2 linked regions of the Drosophila melanogaster genome follow. The protein of the gene in region 1 interacts with the protein of each later gene in a pairwise test. Each region holds a gene or a part of one and is shown on either strand. Other genes may lie near its edges.

The links. Proteins that work in one complex are often made in the same cells at the same time.
Region 2: the proteins of CG7202 (region 1) and RpL35 interact in a two-hybrid assay, tested with the Drosophila melanogaster proteins (one large-scale study listed by BioGRID).

What each region holds. Positions count from the first base shown.
Region 1 is NT_037436.4:21,489,721-21,494,302, forward strand, and holds CG7202 (uncharacterized protein), read right to left. Parts: upstream 3,054-4,582; 5' UTR 2,987-3,053; coding exon 2,857-2,986; intron 2,468-2,856; coding exon 1,728-2,467; 3' UTR 1,679-1,727; downstream 1-1,678. Other genes in the region: Neu2 (Neuroectoderm-expressed 2), read right to left, coding at 1-281; CG7519 (uncharacterized protein), read left to right, coding at 3,465-3,476, 3,528-3,635, 3,700-4,062.
Region 2 is NC_004354.4:5,669,221-5,674,047, reverse strand, and holds RpL35 (ribosomal protein L35), read right to left. Parts: upstream 1,648-4,827; 5' UTR 1,529-1,647; coding exon 1,526-1,528; intron 1,315-1,525; exon of another isoform or gene 1,176-1,314; coding exon of another isoform or gene 1,173-1,175; intron 1,051-1,172; coding exon 914-1,050; intron 832-913; coding exon 600-831; 3' UTR 501-599; downstream 1-500. Other genes in the region: Tre1 (trapped in endoderm 1), read left to right, coding at 1-82; Rab18, read left to right, coding at 2,387-2,445, 2,535-2,967, 3,032-3,133; CG4119 (uncharacterized protein), read right to left, coding at 3,902-3,997, 4,103-4,746, 4,822-4,827.

The sequences.
Region 1 (4,582 bases):
CCATCCTGGAGATCCCTCTCAGCTGCCTCCACTTCTTCTGAGCATCCGGATCCATCATTTTCACTCTCCTCCTCCCGTACATCCTTGAGGAAGCGGTAAAACTGGTGACTTCTCTCGTACGTTTCTATGATATCGAATGCATTCTGCGCATCCTCCAGACAGGACTTGCATATGGTGTTGGACAGTGGATCGTGCTTCTCAACTTGCCAGCCGGTGCACTTGTATATTATGTACGCAATGGATAGGCCCGGTTCATGAGACTCATCGAAAACACTGGCCATATTTTCGTAACTGACCAGGCAAACTCGGCATATTGACGATTCCATCGATCTGAAATGACACGAACTGTGTGAATATAAAATTGCGAATATACAAAATCGTGCACTTAAACGGTTTCAAAAAAGTATAATGGTTATTCCCAGATCTTTGAGTATTAGCGTTTCTGGAATCTACATCCTGAATGCTAAATACACTGAGATCTCAACTTTCAAACAAACGGACAGAATAGGTACGACTAGATCGTAGTCATGGATGACACATACACTTTATAAGGTCAGTGACAAACGTCATCTTTTAGTTGCATAGCATCAAAAAGAACCCTCTGCACTCTTTCTTATATTTAATAATCAATGAAATTTAATACTTGTGTAGAGCTTTAAACATAAATTGCACTAATTTCCAAATACATCTTGGTTTATTTATGACTTTGCTAACTCGGCACGAATTGACCCACAATGGCAATCCTTACCTTAAACTTACCTTATTTTCGTGTTTGTTCACGGCGAATGCGTATTTAAAATGTGGCAATAAGCACAGGAATTGGCAATCTGTAAAGATGTTGCTATGACAAGGGTTGTACTCCTTCTGAAGTGAATAGGTAAGTCGTAAGGCTTATATACAAACATGTCCCAAGGTCGTTTGGTTCTGTAAAATGGGCAACATAGCATATTTAACAATGTTACCTGGGTCAGGTGTCATCAAAGAAGGGCTTTCCAGCAGCTGCACTCATCTTTTTACGGTGCGTCCCAACTAATCTTACGATTTTCTGTAGATCCAAGCAGGTCAATGCATAATGTGATACATGCAGGTAAAAGTAACTATGGTTAAAGAAAAAATCTTTCCTTGGTCGACCCCAAAGTGCTAAATCATTATTGCTGAACTCTAAAACCATGTGTTTGTAACGAAATATACTTATTGGGGTGGTGGAAAACAGGGGAAAACCATTTACCCAATGACCAATAAAGCTAGCCATACCCTTCTATTCCCAATATACCCCATGGCGGAATCATTCTAGTAGCAAATTATTCAATAAAAAACATACAGTACAAAAAAACGAATAATTCAATTTTAAATACAAGACTAAAACAAAGTAAATGGCATCGATTTCTGGTGTTAATTAAGTACATATGTACATTATTAATAACTTTGTAAATCAAAAGGAGTAAGCGATTATTGCCTTTATAGATAATGTGCTAGAATTATTCCTTAAATTCCTTTTCTTGATGACATTAAAACACTCGAACCCCAAAGTTTTTAAAAACATTTATGTTAAATCAACTACAATAATAAAACTAGAAAGTAACCTATAGTCGAGCAAGCCTTATTTGATGCGATGCCCTTTTTCTATGGAACCATTTCCCTTGTATTACCAACTACTAAAGATAAACGTCGTTGAATTGCTAGTAACATTGTTTATTCCGAGTGAAATGGATGATTTTGAAGACTCCTCATATGAGGATGTTGTGGCACCGCATGCCCGTTAACATGGGCATCTTCTTTGGTCCGGAGATGAACCTTCCCGCCACCTGCAGGAACTCGCTCTGCCCCCGACCGAACAAAGAAGCGTTCTGGGTGAGCTCGACGTTCACGTGGTTCTCGGTCAGGTAGACCTGTCCGTTGATGTGGAAGTGGCTGTTGGTAATGTAGATGTTTTGTGTGGAGGGGGAGTTGACCTTTTCGGCGTGCAATGAGCCGGAGACCGTACCGGTCAGGGAGTCCGATCGCCTCCACACCACCATTGATTCTTCGGAGGACTTGGCCATTGCTACCCGGTTTCCGGATCTGACACTTCCATAGCTACTGGAGCTACTGCTGATATCCAGCTCGTGCAGAAGTTCGCGCATTTCCAGACACTGCAACTGCAGGATACTGAGCTGCTCCTTCAGATTTTCATTGTGGTCCTGCAGGAGATCGAAGGGATTCGAATCGTCCTGCTGGCTTGGCGCCTTCTGCTCAACAACTGGGTCCTGCACTTTGGCAGCAGATTTGGGATGCAGCGCCTTTTTGCTCTTGAAATACCTTTTGGCCTGCAGCTCCGCCAGTTGGAGCAGCTTGGACAGACCAAAGGTCAGGGCAAAGATCACGCCGAAGCTCGTCGCAAACTGGTAGGTGCTGTCGGAGCTGTCGGAGCTACTCTGCTCTGAGGGACTGTGGCACAGCTGCGGCTCAAACGTAATCCCAGGACGCTCTGTACAAGTGAATAAAAGGCAAAAGGTAAATAACAACTTTGTGAAAAACTTTAAGGGTCGATAAGTATTTGGAACACCAAATTACATCAACTTTTCTAGGTATCTACGTTCAGTCGGACGGAAAGACGGACATGGCCAGATCACTGGCAAGTGATCTTAAGAAAGATTAATACATATACTTAATGTCTGATATCTATTTCATATGTTAAATCAAATCTCGAATACCCTTTAATACCACAAATAACGATTAAAATAATATAGACATTAACTTCTAATGTATCCGGCTTTAAAAGGATCACTTTTAAGAGTGATTAAAAAATCATAAGTGTAGTGTTGGATTCAACCACCATTTCTTCACTTAACTCAAAACAACAATGGACATCCTCACCTGTGTATAATTCGACTCGGAAATCAGAGGAGAGCCGCGTCTGGACCTGGACGAAGTGCTGGAAGCAGAGAACGGCCCAGGCCACGAAGGCCAAGGCAGCCAGGAACAAGAAACTTATGCATTCGAACATGATTCCCGAAATTTTGTTGTGTGCTGATAACGTGTGTAGTTATAAAAACAGCTTTCGAACAAGTCGGGCCTCGTGTGGAAAATAAAGAAATATCGGACACTAAAATCAAAGCGAATAAGATTGTAAAAGGACTCTGTTTCTTTCGGTTTCTTTTTAATTTCTTGAAATCTTAAAAAAGCTATTAGAATTTCAACTTATTTATTTTAAAGAAATTTCTTTTTTTTTTTGATGTTTTAAGATATTTGATTTGAAACAATTTTATTCCAAATTAATTTTCGACTGTTTGGTACAACAATGCATATCAATTACTTAAATTTATTTATTTAATTTTGAATTCAATATTGTCTTCGGTATTTGTACGACATTGTACGTTATTCATCCCGACTTGCGGCTGGTCACACTGCGCTAAACAAAGTACGAAACGTGATTTTTCGTTTCAATAATTTTTAAAGTAAATAAGCAACCTTGTCCAAATAAAATGGAGATGATGGTATGTAGTGGCTAAAAGAAATTAACCGATTCTGATTAATGGACTTGTTAGCATGGAGCGTCGCTGCTGTCGCGGCCAGCGGAGGAATTTGGCAACGACACCCTGGTGGAGGAAATGTGGGCCGCAAAAGCTCTGGAACACGCCGAGGTGCACTTTAATGTGAGTACACTTTGAACGATGTTAAGGAATGGTAGTTGACACTGCTTCATCGTATTCCCGGCAGCTCATCACCAGCGTCCATCCCTCCCAGCTGAAGCTCACGCCCTACGACGACCAGATATACGCCACTTTCCGGCAGGATTTTCCCGATCTTCACGTTGGCCGGCTTACCGATGATATTCTCAAATCCGCCACGGCGAAGCTCAAGTGGCGCCAGTTCGCCGAGAAGTTTAACAAGTTGGACGATTACTCGTATGGCACCCTGATGCGCGCCGATGCCAGCAGGGAATTCTCCCCGGACAACTCTATCTTCGTGTTTCGCGTCCAGTTTCTGGCCATCGAGATTGCCCGGAATCGGGAGGGACTCAACGATGAGGCTTACGAGAAGCACAAGCCCGCCAGAAAGGTACCCGAAGAGGAACAGTAATCCCTCGCTCTAGCTTAGATTAAGTTGTAAAGACTGGATGCATATTTAGCTGCAGTTCGTCTATCTACTTTAGTAAACAATCAAATTATTTTTATACAAAAAATAAAAATATAACGACCGCCTTTAAATTGTTCCCTACACGTTGCCATTTCTTGACTTTGTATTCTGCTTTCTGCCAATCTGTGGGATGAGATCCACATCTTTAATAAAAATTAGATTAACATTTGATCAAAGTTGTGTTGTAATAATCTAATGTATACATCTCAAAGTTCTGATGCAAACATTCTGTTTAAAAACATATTCGCTTTTATTGGGAAATCGATTCCATTTTATCTGTGAACAACAATAAACCCATGGTTTTATGTTAGAATATTGTATCCTAAACTATATATTGTATATATTAAATATATAATTAATGGGATTTGCCTAGTTGCTACATGTATTGCCCGCACTTGGTCCATCTTCAGTCTTGCTTTTGGGCAGTCTAGCGAATCTGCTTGCGCCCTGTTCTTCTCAATTC
Region 2 (4,827 bases), on another chromosome or scaffold:
GGGCGTCATCCGCAGCACGCCGCTGTTTCACGCTGTGCAGAAGAATAGTATTAACCAAATGTGCCAAACATATTCAGTATGATCGAGCTCGCAGTCGAGAGCTTGTAATTCATATCAATTACCTACTTATTACTTGTTAGTTCATAATTATTTACGATGTATGGCCGTGCTTACATCAAAGACAATCGAATTAAATACATATACGTAGACCAATTGAGAATTCTGGTGTTTTTCAAGTTTGCATATTCAAAGAAGGCTGAATTAAAGATTGAACTTAAGATTTGCCATTACTTCTACAAGGCGCTAACTCAACGTTTTTGCTCTATAATGATCTTAAGGACCACAAGTAGTTAAGTAGATCCCATTGGATCCGACTAACATATGTAGAACAGGGAATGCGGCACTTGTTTTTTTGTTTTTTAACTAATTTCCATGAACCCATGGCCAAAGCCATGTGCCACTCGCGTTTTTTCGGTCACAAAATCAAACACGCATCGCTATTTTCACTTTAAAAAAAAGATTTTATTTAGTTTTTCTTCTTCATTGTACCGAAGAACCCTTAACGCGCACTATAGACAGTCGGAGTATCTGGATGCATTCTAGGCCTTGACGGCGAACTTCCTCTGGGGGAAGACGGAGCGCTTGCGGATCTCCTTGAGGGTCTTGCGGTTGGCGTCGCGCGGAGACAGGGCCTTGCGGATAGCGCGGGTCTTCTTCTTGCGCAGATCCAGGGGCTTGTACTTCTTGTTCTTGAAGACCTTGCGCAGATTCTCCTTCTGCTTCTGGTGCATCACAATGTAGACGCGAGCGATGGCCTTGCGGACAACGCGGCTGTATGGATAAGAACGCACATAAATGCACAAAACACCGGAATTAGTTCGTGACGCTTGTCGTTGTGCCGCGGCATACTCACATCTTGGAGAGCTTGGAGGGAGCTCCGCCGGTCACCTTGGCCACGCGCAGGCTGAGCAACTCATTCTTGAGCTCATCCAATTGCTTGGTGAGTTCCTTCTTGTCCTTGATCCTCAGCTCGGAGCACTTAACCTTCACCTGGACGGGAGCACAAACAAACGGGCAGAAAACAAGAACATTAGTATCGCTGCACTGCAAATGGCATGTTCATTGGCCCTTGGGCTGAGAGCATCGGGTGTCGATGGGTGTAACCAACCAACCATTTTTCTAGCTCTGCTCTTTAACACTCAGCACAGAACAAAAAAACCAACGAATTTTCCGTATTCACTAAACCAGCAAATTAAGAAATTCAGCACGTGGCTTAACGCAACCTCTCCGGAAACGCGGCGAAAAGAAAAGGAAAGAAGAAGAAGCAGAGGTGCTAGGGGTGAGCACAAAATAGTGTGCTAGCGTTGCGCGTCTCAACTAGCGTGGTACTGCATTATTAATCGCATTTTGTGTTAACACCATGAACGGCAGTAATTTGGGGCGCGTTTTAGCCATTACTTTGGCTTTTAATTGTTCGTTTCGTTGTAAAATAGGTTAGAAATCTTTTCGCTCACAAAATACCAACCATTTTTCTCGCTGGTCACGTCAAAAAAGAAAGATGGGACTTGGAGGAAAGAACTAGTTGGTGGTGGCACTATTGTAACTTCGAGCGTCGAACCAGTGGCAACGCTGATATCGAACCGGTTCCGAGTCCGTCATTAAAATAGATAAATCAAATTACTACGATTGCAAAAATATTCAATCACAATATTTACTTTTTTATTTTGCTAATGCCAATGAAAAGCTAAATAATACCATTTTAGAGAGCTATAAAATTAAGACATTACGCGTTTCGGAATTATTTTTCGAGGAAAATTATTTCTTATATAATTTAAACGTTTATATAAAATAATTATAACACCAACTATTTTGAGCGCAGAAGGAATCCTAAATTTATGATATTTTATAATTATTTTTTATAATTAATTTTTTTTTTTTAATTAATTTTTATACAACAATATAAGGAACGCACTGTTACCTATGTGGCAACAAAATTTGATCTGCTTAACGTGTTTTAGTTTTCATTGCGCGTTTATTATGGTAGTAACAACAGAATTATTTTTTTAAATATAGTTAGTCCTCCTAAGTCAAGACCCGATCGGTTTTGTTAAAAGGGTGGAATTAAATTATTTTAAGAAGCTAAATGTGTGTGCAAAAAAGTAGCCAGATTACGGCCACAGGTCACCACTAGATCGAAGTGGCGGTCTGGCAAGGCTGCTGTTACAGTGGTCCATCTCTATCGTGAGAATGTAAACAAAGCAGCAAGGTGGCAACGCCGCACTCACTTACTCCAGATAATCTACATAAATAATACAATTGGCAATATTCTTATCGTTTTAAGTAAATAACAGTAGTGATAAGCATTAAGCGGAGCTCAAACCACACAATGGCTGATCGGGCTATCAAGCTGCTGGTGATCGGGGAAAGCGGCGTGGGCAAGTCCAGGTGCAGTCCCAAGTCCATGGAGCAATTCCACTGCGTATATTACCAAAAGCTTGCATCACTCATCAACTTTCATTATCATTTCATCATAGTTTGATACGTCGCTTCGTGGAGAACAAGTTCGACCAGAACCATGACGTCACGATTGGCATGGACTTCAAGAGCAAAGTGATGCAGGTGGACGGCATAGACTACAAGGTGGCCCTGTGGGATACGGCGGGCGCCGAGAGATTCCGCAGCCTGACGCCCAGTTTCTATCGGAAGGCTCTGGGCGCCATTCTAGTGTACGACATCACCAGCAGGGACAGCCTGGTCAAGCTGGAAACCTGGCTGGCTGAACTGGATAGCTACAGCGACAATCCCAACATTGCCATCATTGTGGTAGGCAACAAGATCGACGAGGAGCGAGTTGTGGATCGCGAGGAGGGTCGAAAGTTTGCCAGGAAGCACAGGGCGCTCTTCATCGAGACCTCAGCCAAATGCGATCAGTTCGTCAGCGATGTGTTCAAAGATGTGGTGGAGAAGGTGAGCTAGCTACCAACCAAATACTTGGCATTCGTGTTTCCAATTATCCACATCCGCTTTGCAGATCGTCTCCTCCGAATACTTCAACAATGGCAATGCCTCCGCCGGTCTGGACATCGCCAGCGATCGGGATCTGGAGGCAAGCGCGTCTACGTGTTACTGTTGATTTCGAATGTTATGCGTGCTTTTGTCAAATTTATATCGTGTATTTATTTAATCGTTTCAATATCACTAGCATAAAGTCAATCAACCTTAACGTTCAATCGTGTACTCCAATCTGAGCAGGGCTATCGATTCACTTAGCTTGCAGGGTTTGCAGATCAGTCAGAATCCTTTTTAAATTCTATCCTTCTAATATTCCTGTACGGCTTATTGTCCATCTGCTTGCATTTCGTCTGCGACCAGTCAAAAGTCAAGTTCAGCATTTTCTTTTCATTATTTTATTGACATGATGATAGTTTTCCATTTGCGTTCACAAACGCAACAAATAAAGTGGAGAATTGGATTAGTGACCAACTGAAATGTACATGGGCTATGCGATTTTTTTTATTTCTATTGCATCTGGTGGTGTAAATTTATAAGTGAGTTCGGTTTATATTTACAATTATCGATGATTAATATTTATTAATTAACGCTAACAAGGTGGATTTAGAAATCAATGAAGCTGTTCTTCACGATTGGCTCGCTCGCTATTCATCAATTTCTTGTAAATCCCTTGCACGCGACGGATGCTTAGAAAACAAAGCTGGACATTTGGCCGCAACAATTCCCGGAGCACGCCCCTTATGTACATTTTTGTAATCGCATAGGTTCCGTAAGAGTAACTTAGAATCTAACTTCACGCTGTTGCTCCTCCATCGATACCTCGGATCCGCACCTGCTCCCGCCCAGTTCCCCAGTGATGCGCACGACGGGCATCTCTCCCATCTCCTTACTACTTCCCCGCAAGGCCGCTCTTCTTGGCGTCCAGTTCGTAAATGAGCAGACGCCACATCTTCACCACAAAGACCTCGGCTTCCTCGTCGAGTACCTGAAGATTTGAAACATTGAAACAGAGCGAGAGGGATAGAGTTTGGATTAGTTCATAGAATGGTAGTGGTTATCGTATCGTATCGTATCGCTTCAAACTACTCACCATTTGCACATCATCCAAGATGCTTTGAGGCGGGCTGCCGGCCAACACTTTGGAACATATAAAGTCCACTAGCGTCGGCTCCGGCTCACCGATATACTCGATGATTTTCTTATTTATCCATGGACGTATTTTGCGTTCCATTAGACCGCTGTCAATCTCGTTGCGGTCTAGCTTATAATTAAATAGCTCCTCCTTTTGCGTGGGTATCCTGTCAATAATGCTTTTTATATGCCGCCGTTTTTCATCATACACCTTTGCACCATTCTCATCCTTTTTGATGTTCGCAGCGGCAGCATCTGCGCTACTGCCAGCAGATGCAGCTGCCTCATTCTTACCATGTTTGCTGTTGCTGTTATGTTTGTTGTTGCTGCTGCTGCTGCTGCCGCCGCCGTTGTTCTTGCCGCCTGATGCGTTCGAACCGGAGCCGGATCCCGAACCCGACCCCGATGAGCCGCCACCGAAAGCCTGGGCGATCTTCTGGCTAACGGCAGCGGCTGCAGCGGTTGCCGCCGACACGGCGGAGCTTTGGCGATCCGCCGAGCTGCTGTTATTGTTGTTGCTGCTGCTGCTGTTGTTCGCAGCTCCGCTGCCGCTGCTGGCTGCATGATTGGATGGCGTGGTGTTGCTTATGTTATCATCGTAGTCTGCGAAGGCAAGGTAACAAACAGCAAGTCATCAGAGGATGCTCTACGATCTAATATAGTTGATCGAAAACTCACCTAGCG